Linked DNA regions of Rhinolophus ferrumequinum. The protein of the gene in region 2 interacts with the protein of the main gene of each other region in a biochemical or structural test. Links are inferred from orthologs where the notes say so. Each region holds a gene or a part of one and is shown on either strand. Other genes may lie near its edges.

The links. The genes of interacting proteins can lie anywhere in the genome.
Region 1: the proteins of RNH1 (region 2) and ANG are reported together in a solved structure, tested with the Homo sapiens proteins (3 studies listed by BioGRID and IntAct, with this or other methods). The link is inferred for Rhinolophus ferrumequinum from reciprocal best matches to the Homo sapiens genes RNH1 and ANG.

What each region holds. Positions count from the first base shown.
Region 1 is NC_046289.1:71,768,059-71,778,586, reverse strand, and holds the start of ANG (angiogenin), read right to left. Parts: upstream 4,827-10,528; 5' UTR 4,739-4,826; exon of another isoform or gene 4,717-4,738; intron 1-4,716. UniProt on the Homo sapiens protein: Secreted ribonuclease that can either promote or restrict cell proliferation of target cells, depending on the context. Endocytosed in target cells via its receptor PLXNB2 and translocates to the cytoplasm or nucleus.
Region 2 is NC_046294.1:269,272-279,769, forward strand, and holds the start of RNH1 (ribonuclease inhibitor), read right to left. Parts: upstream 4,967-10,498; 5' UTR 4,952-4,966; coding exon 4,579-4,951; intron 3,133-4,578; exon of another isoform or gene 2,863-3,132; coding exon of another isoform or gene 2,712-2,862; intron 2,507-2,711; exon of another isoform or gene 2,371-2,506; intron 1,496-2,370; exon of another isoform or gene 1,468-1,495; coding exon of another isoform or gene 1,368-1,467; intron 1,263-1,367; coding exon 1,157-1,262; intron 1-1,156. UniProt on the Homo sapiens protein: Ribonuclease inhibitor which inhibits RNASE1, RNASE2 and angiogenin (ANG). May play a role in redox homeostasis. Required to inhibit the cytotoxic tRNA ribonuclease activity of ANG in the cytoplasm in absence of stress.

The sequences.
Region 1 (10,528 bases), on a different chromosome or scaffold from region 2:
TGTTTTAATTTCTTAACATCTTCCTCAAAAGAAGAAGAAGAAAAAAAGAAGAGGATTGCTGTCATCGTCTCTCAAGTGCTATCAATCTCAAACTGTAAAACTCACACACCACAGGGGTGGTGTGTCACAGACACTCAAACACACCCATAAAGTAAATATAGTGTTTCTTCCTGGAGCACGATTAAAAAATAAAATCAAACAAATATAGATAATAACAAAGTAGAAAACAAATTTCTTATGAACTTTTAAGATTTTATTTCTTCAGAAATTTGCAGATTTGAGAATTGAAAAATATTTGGTGTTTATAGCAGGTACCATGTTTCCCCGAAAATAAGACCTAGCTGGACAATCAACTCTAATGCGTCTTTTGGAGCAAAAATTAATATAAGACCCAGTATTTTATTATATTATATTATACCCGGTCTTATAGTAAAATAAGACTGGGTCTTATATTAATTTTTGCTCCAAAAGACGTATTATAGCTGATGGTCCGACTAGGTCTTATTTTCGGGGAAACAGGGTAGTTTCTGACTATACTTTTAATTCGCTGGAGAAAATCTTAAAACACATTCAGAGCCTTTAAAAACCATCAGAGTCCTTCCCCATTGTATCAAATATATGTGAATGTCCCCACATACAATAATAAAAATGACTTTACACTATAAACTTGAAAATGATTTTTATAATTTTGCTTTTCAAATTGTTTGTCTATGAGTAACTCATTTACTTTATAATTGGCTATGATTTCTTGGCAATCATCACACATACTGAGAAATTCTTACAATTGGAGAAAAATTTGACCTTCAAATTATTCTTAAATGTAATTCATATAAATTGTAAATTTAAAAACACATGATATATTTTCATAGACATTAAATTAATTCTGAATTTTTATTTTGCGCTTTTCTTGTGTGTAAGTCAATAAACATTATTTTCATATCCAATTCTTTATAGCCCTTAAAGATGCCACAGGTCCTAGCACTAAGCCTGTAGTGTTACTAAACAGCTCTGGGAGTATGACTGTAAATCTAGAAAGACAAGGGAATCCAGGGTTCTGATGGTACATGAGAAGGCATGTAACAGAATGAGCAATGTGAGCTCTTTCTCAACAGCATTTGGCATTGATCCACCCTGTCTGTTTCATAATAACTATAGACAAAATTGGCACACTGCTGAATACCAAATTATACACTAAGAAAATTTTGGGTCATTCCACAATACTGAAATAAATTGCAGCTGAAAAAGTTGCCATTTAGCACACAGATTATAATTGGTAATAAAATCAAGCAAAAGCGTGGTCTTGGGCGTTTAGCAAGAAAGTGGTACATGATTGCAGAGGGGAGAGCCACCACTAAAGGAAAAACGAGTATTCATACATGGCCACTGCTTCAACAGAGCTGCTGGCTTGCCATGCACCCCATTTACCAAACCCTTTACATTTACATTGTGCTTTTTAGTCTTTTGGGTGTGTTTTCTCTTTCTAGTTTTTTTTGGAAGATCTCATCAAAGTTTTATTGATTTGGATTCAATTAGGTCTCTTGCTCTGCGATGGACAAATATTGCCTTCTAACGTCAAAGGTAACTGTAGAATCACGGGCTCCCAAGATCGAATAGGACCTCAGAGGTCACAGAGTCAACGCCTCTTTGCCTGGGACCAGAATCCCAGAGTTCAAAATTAGGAAGAACCAAGAGCTGGTAGTACTCAAAAGAGTCATTAGGTGGCAGTGATGGATAGAAATGTTGCCAATGTCTTCCACACTGTAGAGGACATACAGGGTCCTTGTAAAAGGTGCCCGCACCATACAGGTTGTGGAGATACTGTTGTTCATAGAAGGGAGTCTGAGGTGGCAGGCCTGTCTAGAGTCTCTGTCCAAACACTTTATGCTTTAGATATTAAGACCAAGGCCATCCCACTAGAGACAAGCGTCAAAGCAAAAGTCACAAAGCTCAGTATCTGTCCAGAGGAACAGAGCAAAATAGATACCGTATTTTCCCCCAAAATAAGACCTAACCGGAAAATAAGCCCCAGCATGATTTTTTTAGGATGTTCATAATAGTACAAGCCCTCCCCCAAAATAAGCCCCAGTTAAGATCGTCAGCCAGATGGATGCATTTAGTACGTCCGTTGCAACACACGATGGATGTATTGAATTATAAAATAATAATATTAATACATAATTAATATAAATAAATAATATTTTTGACATTAATACTTAAAATAAATGATAATATAAATTATAATTAAGTAAATACCCAAGCGGGCGCCTCTAGATGAGAGGTAATTGCCTATGTAAACAGATGATCTCCAGACTTATTGCCGAATGACCAATCAGATTACAGACACAACGCATGAATAACATGCGCACTTGATAACGAACGGACATGGTTGTGTCTAATATGAATCTTCATAATTCAATACATCGTGTATTGTAACGGACGTACTTAATGTACTCATTTGAAATAAAGAAACATTTTCTGAATTTTGGTGCCTGCAATTTTTCGTCGCTTTTGTGTGGACTATTATTCTTAACTGTCATCATTTTTGTTGCCACTCTTGTCTCCTAAGCCTTCAATTAACACTTGACATAATGGTAGATTTAAAGGGAATGATATTTTGACCCCCAGACTAGATGAGTGCAAAAAGAAAGAGCTATTCCATGGAGTACAAGAAAGGAATCGTGGAGGATTCCCAGGGCAAGAATCTTATGGCTTTCTGCAAAGAGAAGAAGTTGGATCTCCGAATGGTCCGAAAATGGCCAGCAGAGACCATAACCTCAGTCAACAGGTGGACGAGGGAAATGCTAAGAAGCGTAAGTGTGGATCAGGTCGGCAACCATTATTTCCTGAGTTGAAAAAATAAGACATCCCCTGAAAATAAGCCCTAATGCATCTTTTGGAGCAAAAATTAATGTAAGACCCGGTCTTATTTTGGGGGAAATACGGTACCTATTGCCAGTTTTCATGGGTGCTATTTCCAAGTCTTTATACATGTACTCTTGGACGGACAATTACCTGTTGACTTGTCAGTGTTTCCCACTGGTGTATAAGCAGAGCCCATATTATTCACTTTGAGTCACACTGCCTGCCTCATAGTAGACCCTCAATAACTTTTTTTTTTAAATAATTGACTTCATTTTCCTCTCCAGACCTAAGTTTGTTCATTTATAAAATGAGAAAGTTGCTAACTCTAAATTCTGAAATTCCATAGTTCTCATTAAGCGTAAGAGAATCGTGTCTAGTTTCACTAGCAAAAGTAGAGTGACTGTAGAATTACAGAGACAAGTTTGTATAAGTTTAGTTGGTGGCACAGGGCACCGGGTGGAAGATGATCGGATGACCTGTGGCCCAGTCTCACTGAGATGCATCATTTCTCAAGGCTCAGCATGTAAGCCAAGCCCATGGACCACCTCTAGTGAAGGCACTGGACTGACGCTGCACAGGGCTTCACATCCTACACAGCCACTTGCTGGTTGGAGGTTGAACCCTCACATCCCACTCTGGAGAGGTAAAGGAGAATTTTTGGTTCTAATTTGTAGAATTGCACATTCCTTCCATAACAACTTAGCTAAATTTTGCTCAGGCTTTTTATAATCTTGACTCCCTAAGTCATGCAGAAACCAAATCCCAGCCAGTACACAGCACGGCCACCAGTATCTAACATCTGCTCCCCTACTCACATCCTCATCCATGTATTCAGTTATACATTTCCAAAATAAAGAGGTCCAATGGAATTGGGAGAAAACAAGTACGAGACAGACTATTTGTAGTGCAGAAGTGAATCTGCCTAGGCCAAGTGTGCACAGCCTTACATTTGGTGGTCAAACTCATTCACACATATCCTCCCATATACAAGCACATAACTGTCAGTCAGCTTTTTGTCCGTGCAATTCGTCCCAACTGTTCTTTATATGAACTTGATCCTCTATCTCAAACCAAGCCCTTAGTCTTCACAAGAATCAATATTCTCTTTCTCTCTCCACTGACAATGTTTTATACTCAAGAGATCCATCCAACTTTACACACCAGGGAGCTAACTTGACAGTCTATGACGAGTAACTGTGGTTATAATTTCCATAAATGTAGTTTCACACTTTTTATATATTCTAGGGCAATGTCCCCCAAAGCGAAAGCATAACACTCTTTATCTCCTTTCCTTCTTTCTTCCCTTCGACCTGCAAGTGTACCTTCTTTTGATCTTGGGATGTGTACCACTTTGCTCTCACAGAGCAATCAAAACTTTTTTAAGGAAAAAAATTAGTAGGGAAGGTTAGAAGAAAACAGCTAAAAGCATGCTTTCTGTTTCTTTCCTTGTTCCATCACATATAATGCCTGTGCTCAGGGGGGCTCCAATGCTCTTCAGCAAATGGCTTCCCCAGGTCTTTGAAGATTTTATCACAGTTCAGGAATCTCTCTGCAACCTCCACTTACTCCCGGTCTCACTAAATGTCCCTTTATCCACATATATGCTAGCCCCAAAGAAATCTGTTTTCATTTTAAACTTTAGAATCTGATTCATTTTCTCCTTAATTCATTAGCTTGGGCCCAGAGGCTTTAAAAAGGAGGGCAATGGCCTCATTGCAATGGATAGATGGCTAGAAATAATATATATATATATATATGTATATATATATATATATATATATATATATATATATATATATATATACATATATATATATATATATATATATATAAACAAAGAGAACAATAGATTACCCAGGGGTGAGAATAATCTTACAAAAATCTGGAAATTTCCCTCCAACTGAAGGTGGCTTCCAGCTGTTTGTTCCAGGAGATGGGTTCCAGCTGCGTGAACCTAGAGGCCCCTATGGTTCTGATTATATAGTGATCAGATGAAATGGGTGGGGAGACTAGTTCCAAAGATCCTCAATCCTGGCAGAGACAGGAAAACCAAGGACACTTCTCTTGGACAAACAAGAAAAGTCATTCACCTTTTCTCTGGGTATGACTGGGTCAAATATTCACCCACTGGAATGGATTAGTGGATAAACATGGCCTCTTGTGCCAAAGCTGCTCTTTTTCCGATGTGCGTGGTTCTTACTCTTACCCATGACAAGACCGAGGTTTCGTTGTTCACACACACAATGATCTGGATCCAGAAGATGTTCCTGATCTCTGGACCAACTCCAAGAACTGCCTTGAAACTGGCAGAGCAAATGTGGTCTCCTAGCAGAACTGCAGAGCAAATGTGATCTCCTAGCAGAATGCTGTTCCAGTGTACTTTGTATTTACCCACATAATTTGGTTTAATGAAAGGATGCAATGCCAATAAGTAGGTTATTCCATAGATTTCACAGAACCAGGAAAGCACTTCTAGAGAAGGTTATGTGATAGCTATTAGTACCCTGCCCCTGACCTCAACCTCCCAGCTACTAACTAACCCTCTGAAATATCCTGGCTATATTTCCTGGACTTCTTCTTCCTTTCATCCTTAGCTGTGCACTAGATACTAACCCTGAGGCACTCAGTTTTCTATGCTTGTAGCTCAGTTGCAAAACTGGTGATCTCCATCATCATTGCAACACTGATAACCATCACTCCTTTGGTGGTTAATTGATCTTCTTGTCTCTCTATTAGATAGAACCCTTTGAGAGAAGAATAATTGTCTTATTCATCTCTACAGTCTTAGTTTCTAAAACAGTGATTGACTTCTAGGGCCCAAGGTCTTTTTGTTATCCCTCATGGTTTAGCAATGCTCTCTCTCTGATCTCACTGTGGAGACTCCAACCATACAAACTCTCCTGGCTTCTCTTAACCTTTTCACTGCATTAATTGATTTCAAATTTGTTCTCCAAAAGGTGTCAGAAATCCACAAAAAATAATTACAGTATTTATATTTTTAAGTAGATACAGTTAAGGTGCTACATTTTATTAAATAATTACTTTAAAGTATAAAAATTTCCTATTATTATTCATTCTTGAAAAACACAAAAATATAGGAAAATGTATATCTGCTTTCCTAAACTTCCTTTCTGGAACACTGAACTCGTGGGGTAAAGTCAAACGCCGCAATCAGTGCGAAAACGTTAAGGCTCACCAACACAATTGGGTTTGGTAGCAGTTACCAAACAAGGCAGGACTGATTCCCAGGTAGAACAAGGTGGCTTCCAAGGGTCCCAGGAACGCTCTGCTTTTAGCTTACTGATAAATCCTGAAAGCCCATGTTTATCTTTGTTTTTGAGGTATTGGTCCCTGTCCCAGTGCAAAAATCCCTAGCAGAGATTAACTCTTTAAACAGCTGTCAGTGAGTCCACACCCTTGGGCATGTGCTCTACAGCCTATCTTAAGAACAGCTTTGGGTAACTGGAAGGGCCTGAGGCTTTGAGGAAGAAAAGTGGGCAGCATGGAGAACCTGAAAAAGAACAAACTTCACCTGCTTTTCAGTTGTGTTGGGACACAGTCCTGCCTGAGCTTCACGTTTTACCCCTGTCCTCCCCTTTCTTCCCTGCATCCCCAACCGAATCCTGAGCTAAAGGGAAAATGTTGGAGGTAGTGAGAATACCAAGCAAAGTGCCACAAATTGCCTTTCCTTCAGTACCTGGTGCCCCAGGGTTACTGAAGTCTCTGGAAGGGAAGGGACAGGCCTGTCTCTGATCAGTTGTTCTGCCAAACACCCAAGTTCAAAGTCTTTTAGGAGCAAAAAGAAATAATAGGACATGGGGACCATAGAGTGAGGCCCCTACTGGCATTTAGCAGAGTGCCCAAATGCTCATTTTCCTTTTGTGGGCAGACAAACTATTTGATAGCAGTGCCTATTTTAAGTTAATCACATATCACTTTTTAAAGAGACACTGAAGAAATGAGTTCTAAAAAGCTATCAACCAGTTATTTGTTAGAGAAGCCAGCTGCCAGGCCCATTGCAACACCCCACGATTGCCTCAGCAGTCCCAAAAGACAGAATAAGCAGTCAACTCCCACAGCCTGTGGGGAGCAAGATGACTTGATCAACACAACCCTTTTCTGATAAATGACCTAAAAGCAGAGATAAAGTACCCCACTCCAACATCACACACACACACACACACACACACAAAACCACACACACACAACCACACACACACAGTCCCATGGCCTGAAACACTAGTTCAAGCACCAACTCACACAAACAGATCAGTCTCTGATTTTGGAGTTACGCAATGGTGCTGAGTAGCAGCTTCCAGCCTCTGAACACAGCCACATCCCTTCTGTGCCTCTAGGATTTCACTGGACAACCTTGGGAGAATTCACAACCTGTCTACATAGTTGACAATGTAAAGAGTCAGGGTGAATGGGGAATGGTTGCTTTCATTCTAATTGTTTTTATTCTCAGCTTGGCACAATGAAGTTATGATGAAACAGAAAATAAAGTTTTTTAGGGAAAAAAGTTTTATGACTTCATTAAAATGCAGCTTAGTGCTTACTCCTTTGTATTTCAAAATACGAAGAATTATAGTCTACGATTAATGAACATTATATCTTTGTCAGTAATTTTAATAGGTGTGAAGCAATTGCCAATTGAAAAACATACTCATATATTTAAAAAATGTTCTGACAGCTTCAACTTGAAAGTTATTCCCCTTCTTCCGAAATGTTTTTCTATGTCTCTACTTCAAGCCAATAGTTTCCTTGCACACAGATACAGGAAGCATGGGTTCTCCTTCTAAGGACTCTCGCGCTGGTGTACTTTCCCCCTTTAGACAAAGTACATATGTTTACTTCTGTCCTAAAGACTAATTGTAAAATTAGGTAATGGAGGGAAGGGGTTAGTTTTTAAGTTCCTTTATAATTCTTACATATTTTAGGTCTATGAGCATGGAACTTATTTAGTAACAGAAGTAATGGTTAAAAGAGGAGGAAGTTCACATAAGAAGGAAGGATCATGCCTCCACCTCCAGGAAGGGGAAACACTATTGACAGAGGGAGAATGAGGACAAAGTCCTGCTGACATGGCTCTATTTCCAAACAAACAACAATTAATCATTCACTTTTCAACAAACTCTGGGCTTTGTGCCCATTCTCTCTTTCCCTGCTATTTCAAAATGTTCTTCTGAGAATAACTGTTTACAGAGATTGTTCTTTGCTCAAATGCAGTATAATGAAAACTTCTAAAGAAGGGTTTTGCTGGCCTGCTTTGGTCCACTTTCTTAGTCATCTACTTTAATTTATGAATCACACTGGAAAATGCTTCCAGCAATAACTGCACGATAACCTGCTTATAACCTGGCATCTGCACTTTTGACAATAGCCAGAGCCATTCCTCTTTTCCTGGAATGGTTTTCCCCATTCTCTCTGCCAAATGAGAGTTCTTCTCCTCATTACTAGAGTATCTTCTTTTTTTATAAGAGTCCTGTTATAATACCTGGCCACTCGATGCAGTCATAGAATAAGAAAGAGAGGGACCTCAGAGACCATCTGTTAACTCCTCATTTTACAGATGTGGAATCTGAAGAATAGAGAAAGAGAAAATGTGTTGCTCAAGGAACATCTATCATTCCCAGGACTAGAGGCTTTCCAATGCACCACATAGCTTTCATATTCTATACTAGTAATTCTAGAAAATCAAGGCTAATTTTAAAAGTGCTCATGAAATTTGCCGTTTAAGAGAAAACTACTTTGAATATTTCCATAAATTCCAAAAATGCTTTTACTCCCCCTTTATCTGTTAACAAAAATTTTGCTTGAAATAAAGTGTCTGTAACACAATTATCCTCTGCACTAACTAGTTAGTAGCTGTATAGCTAAGTAGCTCTTTGAATACTTGAGGCTGCTTCTAGGAAGTTGGCCATGTGCTGTTTAGCTAATTGTGTCACTTGGGTTTCTGGTGGTTACATTTATGATTTGATTATAAGGTTCTTAATGACACAGAGGGAAGGTCTTGGCTCATTTTAGATTTCCCTAATCCCTAGAATGGTGCTGAAACTGTTTTTACTGTCCTTCCTAAATAAAGATGTCCTGTTTATGCCCATGTGCTGTTATCACTTGATGTGTTGTCTCAGAGTAAGAAAGCTGAAGATCCCAATGTTCCACTAAGAAAGCTTCAAGAAGAGGCTGTTGTCAGTGTCTGCAAGAACTTCACACACTGGCTGAAGGTGGGTTAAGGGTGAGGAGACAGCGGTGAGCAGACAGAAAATGAAAACACCAGTCCCCAAATGTCAGTTCCGCTTGCAAAAACTGGACAAGGCCTGCTTCGTAAATCTGCCGATCAATCTGGGTACCAAGCAAAGAATCCTTACTAGTTTGAGCTAGTGCAGGCCTCCCCGGTCTCCCTGGGCTTCACCAACGCGGTGATCCCCTCCAAGCTTACGTTCTAGGCAATAGGCATTTGTGCTGCCATCTCTGCCCAGCTGCAGAAAGTAAACATGTGGTGTGAATGTAGAATCGCTAACTCTACAAGTACAGCACTTTTATCTTCCTTCCCATTTCTCAGCTCCTCCAGTCCGGTTCCAAAAACTTCTCTCGGAGGAGCCCCCCAACTGCCTCTGCTAAGAAGAGAATCCCTCGGCCAAAACACCCCTGGTAAAGCTACAGACGAGGAGAAGGAGGAGCAGAAATGTGAACCCACTTAGGAACAAAGCTGCAGAAACGCGCAGGACAGTGGAAAGAGAAGTTTTTGTTTCTCACCCGCTTCTCCTTTGTATGATGGTGGGGAGCTGGTAGAAAACGCAAAAATGATGTTTTGAGTCCTGCTTTGGATCTGCGTCGGCTGAGCGTTAGTACACTGACGAGACGCGGGTGCAGCGAGGAGGTTGGGGTCGGCTGGCTAGGTCCCGGGTAGTTGGGACCGCACCCTGTTTCTCAGAAGAGACCCCTTAGCGCCTGGACCCGCCTCCCGAGAAGGCTCCACAGCAGCTCCCGCCCCATGCACAGCGGGGCGGGTCCCTGCTTATGGTCTGGCTCATGTCGCGCTATTCCAGACTGGAGAGAGCCTGTAGCTGAGTACGAGACGCAGCGGCCTCGAAGACGCGGGCTGCCGGGACAACCCGCAGACCGCGCCACAACCGCCCCGGAGCCAAGGCACGACACGGGCCCCTGCTCCCAGGAGCTATCAGGCCCCTAAAGTTCAGGAAGCCAGGCAATTTCGTCCCTCTCAGGCCATCAGTCTCATCTACCCTGTGTTTGTTAAGTGTACCTCTTTTGCAGAACAGTTCGGAACGCGTGCAAGTTTGCACGGAACTTTTGGGAAAGTTCCCAAAGGGGGCGCAAAAGAAATTCAGAAAGTCAGGGCTTGTCCGCGATTTGAAAGTGGGACTTCTATGCACCCAAAGCAAGAATCCTACCGCTAGGCCAACGAGCCACAGCCAGCCATCCTGCACCACTGTTTACCCTGGATTTCATTTTCCGGTCAGCAACTGGCCACCAGGCTATTCTAGAGTTTTGTTTTCGGTTGTGAAATTACTTTTTGCCTTGCCTAGTTTTTCCTTCCATCTTCATGAAGTCTCACGTCTAACTCTAGCTCTGGCCTCGCTTATTCTCCCAGATTTACGTCCTGGACCCTCCTTCCAGACGCTAGATGGGGTGAGGAGAGGCA
Region 2 (10,498 bases):
ACACCTGACCAGCGCCAAAGCCTTGGCCAGTCTCCAGGGAGGGACTCGGTCAGCACAGCCAGGCCTGCAAGGAGCAGCGTGGGCAGCGTGACCCAGCCAAACAGAGTCCACCCAGCTGTGTGGGAGATGGAGTCAACATGGGGTCAGGGGACAAATGAAAAATGGCAAGGAATAAAGACACTAAAACCCCCAGTCAGACAAAGGCCCAGTCAGACGAAGGCCCAGTCATGACCATTCTGGCAACACCCCCCGAGGGAGGCCAACCTCAGGAGGGACACTGAACAGAAAAGGACACAAGCAGAGTCAAGGCACATCACCCAACGTATTTACCAGTTCCAAAGGGCAAAACAGTCCTGGAGAACCGGCAGACCCCCACCTAACAGGTGGTCACGTGACAGCAGTGACCATACGGTGCCATCGTGACCATACATCCCACAACACAGTATTCCAGATAGGACACAGCATCTTTTCTATGTATTCTTGCCAAAAATATGTGACTCAGCCACAAGAAGACATCAGAGGGACTTTCTCCAGACTGGAGCTGACCCACGAGGCAGATGACCAAGGACAAAGAGGGACACAGGGACCGTCCCAGATGGGAGGGGGCCAAGGAGACCTGACGACAAATGGTCCGTGGGATCCTGCACTGACTGGGAATGCTGGTGATACCGGAGTCAAGGTGGCTGTACTGGGCTCCTCAGTTTGACCAGTGGCCCAGGTGATGGGGCACTGACTTCAGGGGACACGGGACGAGGGGCACAGAGCCCCCAAAGCATCTTCATAACTCTTCTGTGAACCTCAATCTACGTCCAAAAGTTTAAGACAAGCAGGCAGGTATCTGTTGTGAAGCCTGAGGAACTGCTGTGTGAGAACGGGCAGCGAAGGGACAAGCCACACCTGCACGCAGCCAACTGACGTGATTGCGTCCCTGAGGAAGGAGCCGAGCCAGAGACCCTGGCCGGCCACTCCGCCCACCTGGGAACAGGCTCACGTTTTTAAATGGTTGGGTAAAATACAAGAATAACCTTTCACACCATGTGACACAGAGTCTACATTGTGTGTCCACGAGCTGAGAGCTTTCAGAGCCCAGCACGCCCACTCGTGGGCCCCCAGCCCACCGGCCACCCCGCAAGGGCGTGGGCAAGGGCGTCTCTACCTGACCACCTGCTGCTGCTGCATCCGAGGCAGGAGCTCCCTCCACTGGTCGTCACTCAGCTGCTCGTAGTGGATGTCCACACTCATGATGAGAGAGGCGGGGTTTTCTAGGTGGAAGACGGGAGGGGGAGGAGTGAGCCAACCGGTCTCAGGTCTGGGAAGCCAGAGGTCCAGCAGGCGGGCTGGGAGCAGGTGAAAGGCCCTAAGCTCACCAGGGACCAGCCGGAGCCTGAATACACAGTAACCTGAGGCCCTGAAGGTGGGGTTGGGAGAAGAGCCCTGGGTGCTGAGATGCAGGGAGTTGGCTTTCATTCAGGTGCTGCAGAAAGTCCTGGAAGTGATGCGATTTGAGCTGCCCTTTAAAATGGCCCTGCCCAACAGAATGACTCAGCCCCATGTGAGGACCTGGCTCCCTGAAATCCCCGGGTTCCTGAGAACAGTGCCTCACATGTTTGTGTGCCAGCTTGGCACTGCCTGGCTTTGCTGAATGGAGCCCACAGAGGGGAGAGTGGCCCAGGCCAATGCTCCACTTCCACTCCTGAGTGACGGCCAGCAGGAAAAATTCATGTTTGCTGATCCCAGCAGATGGGCCTGCTGAAACTGAGGTGAGGGCATCTGGGACTGGCCATGTCACCCAACTGTCACACAGAGGAGTTGAGTCTACCCAATCCGTAGCCAGAGCATGTGAGCAAAAGCGTATCCGCCCCTGCTGGGAGCCCAGGGTGTGGTCACCCAAACCCTGACTCAGAATCTTCAGTCATGGACCGGCCTGCTGATTCTGAGCCCTCCTGGGCCCAGGCTTAACCAGACATTGGGGTGTCCCCCTGGTTGGGCCTTTGGGCCAGGAAGACATTTCTTAATTTCTGGGGCTCAATGATCCCTTTGAGAACCCCATGAAAACATGCAACATCGCCCAAAAGATGCCCCGGTTAAAGGCCCCTAATCTAAACCTGGACAAGCACATTTCAGGCCCACCGCCTCACTGGGAGTCAGTCCCCCAGCTGGGCTGCTTCCTAGGGTCCCAAGTCTGGGGTCCAGGAGCAGAACAACGCCCCTAATCAGTGGTTTCAAGTGTGACAACTAGCAGCTCAGCAGGACCTGCCCTGAGGGCACGAGATGGGATTAGGCCTTCACCGGGGCAGCGCCCACGGCCTATGTCCCTATGTCTTCCGGGTCACTGAGCCGCGAGCAGGGTAGCCCTGGACCGCAGGTTACCTCTGCGAGGCGCGGGGAACAGCCGGGAGCGAACGGGGGTCCGCGCGAGGCCGCCCAGGGCCGCCGCCGCCCTCCGCGCCGGCCCGAGGCTCCGCGTGTTTCCGGGTGGCCTCGGGCTGGGGTCGGCGCGGTCACTCTAGGAAGAAACGGGCCGCGCTCAGACGGCGCTCGGACAGGGTCCCCGGCGCCCGGCCGCGCCCTTCTCGGGCCCCAGAACACGCCCGCAGTGTCGCCCGAGTTCGCCCGCTCCGCCAGGGGGCGCCGCAGAAGGTCCCCCGCAACCTGGCCCGCTCGGACCCCAGGACCCTCGAACCCCGGGAACCCCAGAATCTGCAACTCACCTCGCGCCGCGCCGCCGCAAACCCGACCAGCTGCTGCGGCCTGGACTGGGGGCGGGGCCGCCGGTCGGGGCGGGGTCCCGGCGGGGCGGCGGGCACTGGCCCCGGGGAGGGCCTGTCCCAGCGGCTCTTTCCGAGACGCGCGCCGAGCCATCGCCTCTAATTAAGTGTCGCCGCATTCCGCGGAGCCCAGCGTCAAGCTCCGCGTCCACATATGATTTTCCACTTTCTGGCCCCAATGGGCCTTTCGGCTTTATCTGCCAGAACAGGCAGGGCACGGGCCAGCTCGCCAAGAGGGGCGCAGGCGCGCGGGAGGGGGCGACCCCCACCGAGACCGCGGCGCGTCTCCCTTCTTCCGCCTCCTCCCAGCACCAGGCCGGTTCCGGGGCAGAAACAAAATACCCGACACTTCTTTGCTACCAGACTGGAAGTGGGAGAGATTGACGATTGTTTGTTGTGGACGTGCTGACATGGGTGAGACTGTAATTAATTCGTCAGGCTTTTGGGAGCGCAATGTGTCTTATGTAAAACACGCACACACCCATTTCGCCGTATCAATCAAGAGACCTATTCATGCATGAACGCAGGAGACACGTTCAAAACGTCTTTTTGCAGCCTTTTGTAACCGTCCAAACCTGGAAACAATCTAAAGGTCTATAAGCAGGAAATGGTTAAATAATTTACGACACATCCATACTCTGCTAGGTAACAAAACTATACTGACACGGAACGACCTCGGAGGGTGCATTGCTTAATTTTTTAAACTTGCACATCAGGACGTATAGCATTATGCTTGAACAACTCTTGAGGTGGACACTGCCTTGGCAGGTCACCTCCGTGGGCGCCCAGAGCTGCCGCGCGTGTCTGTCAAGCGGCTGCAGTCACTTATTCAAGAGCGTCCCCTCCTGACTTGTACACTTGTTAGAACAGGGATGTTCCACGAGTCCTCATCGCTCAGGAATTCATCAATTCAACCAACGGCTACTGAACACCTACTGTGTGCCAGGCACCGTTCTTGGGCTACATCCAAGGGCAAAGCAAGGCAAAGGTCTCAGCCAGCCCTCGTGGAGCTCAAGCTCCAGAGTGACGAAGGGAACTCAAAAGTAAATTAATAGTATTTAGAATGTGGGAAGTGCAAAGGAGGGAAATAACGCATAATAAAAGGGAATCCGGAATGCCGGAGTGGCGGGGCAGGGTCAGGCAGGTCCCTCACAGCGACAGCACACTGGCTGGGACGGGCCTGGAATATCCCCCACCAACGTCGCAGTGCTCACGGCAGACCTGGCCTAATCTTCGTGGCCGCCAGGGGGCAGCACATTGCGGATGTGGGATGAGGACCCCACTGGTTGCTGGGGTCGTCGGTTCTTTGCGGGAATAAAGTAAAGTGTGACTCAACTGGGACAGTAGCTTGCTGGGCACCAACTGACAAGGGGATCAGGGTGGACCTCACGAGCGCGCTGCGGAAGACCCACCGATCGCGGACCACGCAAGCGCAGACGACGCCTCCGCGCCGGACTCCCAGCGTGCCTCGGGAGTAGGCTTGGTGGCGGGTGCGCACGCGCGGCGGCGCACTCGGGCGCTCTGACGTCCTCCGTGCGCGCCGACGTCCGCTGGGCGGCGCTGCGGCCTCAGCGTGCGCGGCCCCACCTCGCCTGTGCCGGTCCGGGTGTCCCCGGTCCCCACAATTCCCGCGCCTACCCGCCTTCGCCCCGCCTCACGAGCGCCCGTCCAGCCGTGGCAGCAGGGCCGCAGCAGCAGCTGGCGCGCGTCCGCAGGCGACCCCACCAAAGCCGGCGCTGGTAAGGGCTGGCCCCAGGCTGGCCGGCCGTCGGACGGGCGCACGGGCTGTCGGACTGCGGGAGTGACTGACCTCGAGGCGACGGCGGACTGTCACTCGCCTGTAACCAGGAGGCAGACGGCCACTTAGGACGGGGGGATGGAGCGGGCCTAGCGGGGCGAGGTCTGCCGGGTCGCCACGAGCGGTGGGGGCGTGGTCTGGTCGGCGGAGGCTGGACCTCGCGTGGGGCGGGCGCCGGCTCTGCGTAGCGAAGTGGCGGGTTTCGGCGCACCCACGTGGTGGTGGGGCGGAGTCGTGGTCCAGGCGTGGCCCTCCCCGTTTCCCACGCGGCTGCGCTGGGACTGATGGACCGACGGGCGCGTGAGGTGAGCGGGCCTTGGATATGGACGTGGTGAGGACCCGGCCTCCGGGCTCGAGCTCGCCTCTCGGGGCCTGGTCGTGGCATTAACGCGGCGGGCAGGACGTGGGTTCCGTGACTTGGAGCCAAGTCTTAGTCTAGGTCTCAAGATTTTGCACAACAGGCCTCTGCGGCGCGTCGTAGGGCTGGAGAGAAATGTACTTTGATAGACAGGTAGACAGACGTGATTTTGTAGGAAAGAGTCAATGTTATTCGTTACGGCAACATTTGTAGTCTGAGTCATGTTTCACTCCTGTAACATTGTCAGTGACTGTTGACAGTTGTCTTCCTAAATGCACTCATTCAGTATTTACTGAGTAGCGCCTTTGTGCTGGGTCGTGTTGTAGGTGCTGAGGGTTCAACATTGAGCAGAACAGCTAGAAACCCTGGAGGATACCTTCCATCCAGTACTGCATTTGCTGTATGTAAGTTTACTGGTGATGGATTCTACCCGTTTTTGTTTCTCTGAAAATTTCTTTGTGTGTCCTCTGTTTTTGAAGGACATTTTTACTGGGTATAGAATTACAGGTTTGCAGTTATTTCTGTCAGCACTCTGAGGATGTTATTCCATTGTTTTCTGACTTCCACACTTTCTGTCAGTCTTATTGTTGCTCCTTTGAAGAAGGCATGTCTTCCTGGCTGCTTTAAAGATTTTCTCTTTATTTTCAGTCAGCAGTTCTATACAGCAGTCCCCCTTTACCCAAGGTTTCACTTTCTGTGCTTTCAGTTACCTGTGACGAACCATGGTCCAAAAATATTAAATGAAAATTCCAGAAATAAGCAAGTCATGAGGTTTAAGTTGTGCGCTGTTCTAATCTCGTTCTGCCCCTCCCAGGATGTGAATCATTCCGTTTGTCTGGTGTCTCCGTGCTGTAAACACCCCCTGCCCATTAGCCACTTAGTAGCCTTCGCAGTTATAAGATCGACTGTTACAGTATCGCATTGCTTGTGTTTAACCCTTATTTTACTAATAATGGTCCAAAGCGTAAAACTAGTAATGCTGGGAATTCAGATGTGCCAAAGGAAGGCCATAAAATGCTTGCTTTAAGTGAAAAGGTGAGTACAGTATAAGCTATTTTGAGAGAGAGCAAGACCACATTCATATAACTTTTATTACAGTATATTATAATCGATCTATTTTATTACCAATTAGTTATTGGTATTCATCTCTTTCTGTATCTAATTTATAAATTAAACTTTATCATGGGTATATATGTATAGGAAAAAACAGTGTTTGTAGGGTTCAGTACTGTCTGTGACTTCAGGAGTCCACGGAGGGCCTTGGAATGGATCCCCTGCAGATAAGCGGTCCTGCTGTACTGTGCCTGGATGTATTTTTCCTTGCATTTATCCTTCTCGATGCTCATGGTGCTTTTAGAACCTGTAGGTATCTTTTTTCAGTTTTGGGAAATTTGCAGCTCTTCTTTCTTTAGATGTGTTGGATTCCCATTCTCTTTCTGCTTTTCATCTAGAACTCCAATTATAAATATGCTTGGCCTTTTTCACTGTATCCCACATGTCTCTTCTGCTCTTTACTAGATTGTATATCCTTTTGATTCTATTGCATTCTAATTTTTTTGACCTGCCTTCTAGTTCACTAATTCTCCTTTATCTAATCTGCTGTCAAACCCATTCATTGAGTCCTTAAATTTAGTTTTTCTGTTTTAGAATTTTCATTTATTTGTTTGTTTTTTATTTCCAGGTCTCCCTAAATTTGGGAATCACGTCTTTTGGCTCCTTGAGCACATTAAGTGTAGTTATTTTAAAGTCCTTGTCTGATCACTCCATTATCTGCATCCCTGTTCTCTTTCATCACATCTTACTTCCTGGCATGCCTGATTACTTTTTATGGATGCGTGTTGCACGTTTTATGTTTAGGAAATCAGAGAATTTGATGATTGGACGATGCCCTGGATGATGTTCTCTTCTTCCACAGCAGACGGCTAGGTTAGGCCACTAGCAATCATCACAGCGTCTTAATCCTGACGGGGTTGGGATCACTTAAAGTCCAGCTTCAGTTCTTACTGGGGCTGGTCTGTTTCCTGCTTACTCTTTCTCTGGGGTGTAGCTCTTCCAGGATCCAACCCATAGCCTGGGGAACCTCCAGGAGGCCCATCCTCTTCACACAGGCCTTTAAATCCACTCTTCTCTTGCAGCCCTGGGAATCTGTAGAAAGTTCTGGTCAGCTTCTCAGCCTTGCAGCTACTGTTTCCTGATTCAGCAGATGCTTCTGGTGATTCGCCTGGGGCTGACCCCTCTTCTGGGTGTTAGCCTCACAATTCCTCACTGCCTCGGTAGCAGTTCTAGTAGGCATGTGGGGTTTTGTCTTAATACTGTACCCGGCTCTTTAGTTCTCAGCAGAGGGGTGTCCTGCATCCTGTCTTCCACCATCTCAGGAAATGGGACCCTCCCTCTTTTCAGGAGTACGAAGTGCAGCCTGTAGTTGGGTTTCTACTCCAAACCCTTGGGAAGCTCAGCAATAGGTATTTCTGAGAAACAGGTATGACCCACAGTGTCTTTGCATGTGAGAGTGGCTGACATGGAGTTAGCAACTCAGAACAGAGCAGGCCCCAGGCTCTTGGGGAGGCCAGAAAGGGGAATTGATTTTCTGTTCAGTACACAGGCCTTACTGGAGCTGGTAATGACACCAATGTGTAAGAAACATCACATTGATTTCCTTTTCTAATTAAAATCAAACCTGCTCTGAGCCGCCACTTGCCTGGGTGTTGAGCGCACAGTCAGACCACTCCAGTTACAGGGTGCAGAGTGGCTGCCATGAAGGTCAGTTAGGGGGCCTCACGGAGCCCACCCATCTTCTTGGAACCCCTGCGGGTCCAGCAAGGGTGGCAGTGGGGCCGGCCGGCCTGTGAGTTGTACAGACGGCCTTTGGCTGCTGAGGCACAGGTAGGGCTCAGTTGTGAGAGAGCAGGGGCAGGGGCGAGCAGGAGGCCATCAGGGTGTCCAGTGGGGAGAGGGAAAGAGAAGTCAGTGTTCTGAAGGCACAGTGGACTGAAGGTGGTGATGGGTTGGCTGTAGGGTGAGGGGAAGGGACACTTCAGAGTGTCAGCTTCAGTAGCTGAGGGTTTCGTGGGGCTGTTTACGAGAGGGGAGGACTGAGAGAGGACCACCTTGGGGTGGGTTGGAACTGTTTTAGGCATAGTAATTTGGGGATGCCCGTGAGACACCCGGGGGTTTACCGACTGGGCTTCAAGATGACTGAGTGGCGGCCATCACAACCTGGTGTGGGTACTTAATGCTGTGGGGGGAAGGCCCAGAGCTGACCCCTGGACAACTAGGGGATCCAGCATTCACTGTCAACTAAGGGGTCGAGGACAGCTGCCAGTGGCCCAGAGAGGCCAACGGGTGGTGCCAGTTCAGCCTGAAGCCAGTGGGGTTTGGCACCCCTCACTTGTACAGGCCCCCCCAGGGCACCAAGAGGGACCTAGCAAAGGGTTCCATCATCATATGTTGTCGAGTTAAAGCCTCTTTCCACTCCTCCATTATGCTTCCTCTCTGGCCAGGAGTACAGGGTGTCTCAGATGTGGGAAATGTTCCACAGGGAGCACAGATGTGGAAAACCCGAGTTAAGCATGTGTCATCCTCATTGCATTTGTACAAATTTTTTTGCAACATTTCAATATAAATAAGAAACTACACCTTCCTACTTTGGACAAACTGTCTTTTGCCACCTTTAAGTTTGTTTTTTAAAGAACAGGGAAATATTAGATAATAAAATATGAAAAAGTAGTAGAAATGACCACTGATACCAGTAGAAATTATTGAGACATCAAGGCACAAACTATAATAGAAAATTTTTCAGATCGTACCATTCACTAAGAGGAAGAAACAAATGTTAAATACAAGAGGTGAAGAGGGTCTGGAATTGTTGGGTAATTCATTAGTGGAGACAGGAGGAGGCGATGAGCGTGTTGGGAAGAGATGTGTGTTGCTCCCGGATTTGACACTTCATACTGACGACAGTGACGAGCGAGCTGGTCACACAACCCACATGGGCCTGGGTGGCGAGCTGCTTCAGAGACGCTTGAAGAGCTTTTAAGATTTGACACTTCTTAAGCAAGTGGAACCTTGTATGTGGAGTAAATTTGATCGAGCGTTTCCCAAATTTACAGTGAATTTTAAATGTACGGGATGTGAACATTTAAGAAGAAGAAAGTTGTGAACAATAAGAAGCTGTGAACATCAATGATAAAAAACATTTTTTAATTCAGTCAACCTTTCTGTATAAATTATGAAAATGTAATCTGAAGAAATGCTCAAAGAGTATACAGTAGATAATGTAGCAGAAACACATCATAGAGGTATTTCAGACAATACAAATGTTATGTTATTTTTCTGGATTTATAGGATAAAAATCACAAAGTCTAGGAAAATAATATTTGTTGTTTATGGTATTAATCTGCCTTTTAGATATGTAAATTGTGATTCTTTTCTAAATAAATATTCATTTTGTACCTAATTTTGTATTGTTTTGCTTAGAGTCCCCCTAGCCTAGATAAGCCTCAGGCTGCTACTGTTGTGGGGTCATGGAAACTGAGCAGTAAGACTTGCGTTACGAGGATGGTAACCAGCCGTGTTGTGTGTGATGTGGACTTTGAGTATCAGTAGAGACTAGAAAGCATCTGCCCAAGTGTGGCAGTTCCTGGGGTGAGCTTTGGTTGCAGGTTGAAACTGAAACGAATGGAAGGCCCAGGGAACGTTCCTACTGCAGCCTGGAACGTGCCGGGGGCCTGGTGCACTGTCCAGCATTGTGCTGAAGACTAGCGATGCAAAGCATGAGAATAAAGAAATGAAATCCACCTCTTAAAAAAGATCCGACTACCATGATTTGCCCATGATATTGCAAATAAAATGAGTACCTATGAAGAACGTCCAAGAGAAATGACTTAGAACTAGTAAGAGAATTGAGTAAGGAGCCTGGATACAAGCTGGATGTATGAAAATCAAAGCGTCCTAGGCACCCAGTAACCAATTAGAAATATAGGAGAAAACAGATTTTATTCACAATAGCAGTGACGCTCCTACGCTGCCTAGAACCCAACCTAATAAATGTGTAGGCGATGTGAAGAAGAGTATGTTTAACTTCCCAAGAAATAAATATAAAATATACCCTATTCCCAAAGGAGATTAATCAACACTGTGAAAATACCAATTCTTCTCAAATGAGCCTGTTAATCTAGTGCAACCCAAAGGAAAATCCCATCTAGAGTTTTAAAAGGAACTTTACAGACTGATTCTGAAGTTCACCTGGAAAATAAACTGTCAGAGCCAAGTAATGTTTGAAAAAGAGAGGCAACGAAGGAGACTTGGCGGCACCTCATTAAAAACTGAGAGCGACCACAGCACGTGCTCACAGCCCTGCTGCTGTGATGGAGCCAGTGTCAGAACAGGATGTGGAACAGAGCGGGAGCTTCTGTTAGGCCTCAGTGTGTCAGGGATTTCGGTCACAAAGAAGGAAGCAGCCCAGTGGGGAGTGGGGGTGTCAGGAGGACGACAGTTGAACAGCTTGAAGGGCAAGTTCATTTGGGGAATATACTTGATGCCACACACAGAAGTAAGGAAGCAACACAAAAGAAT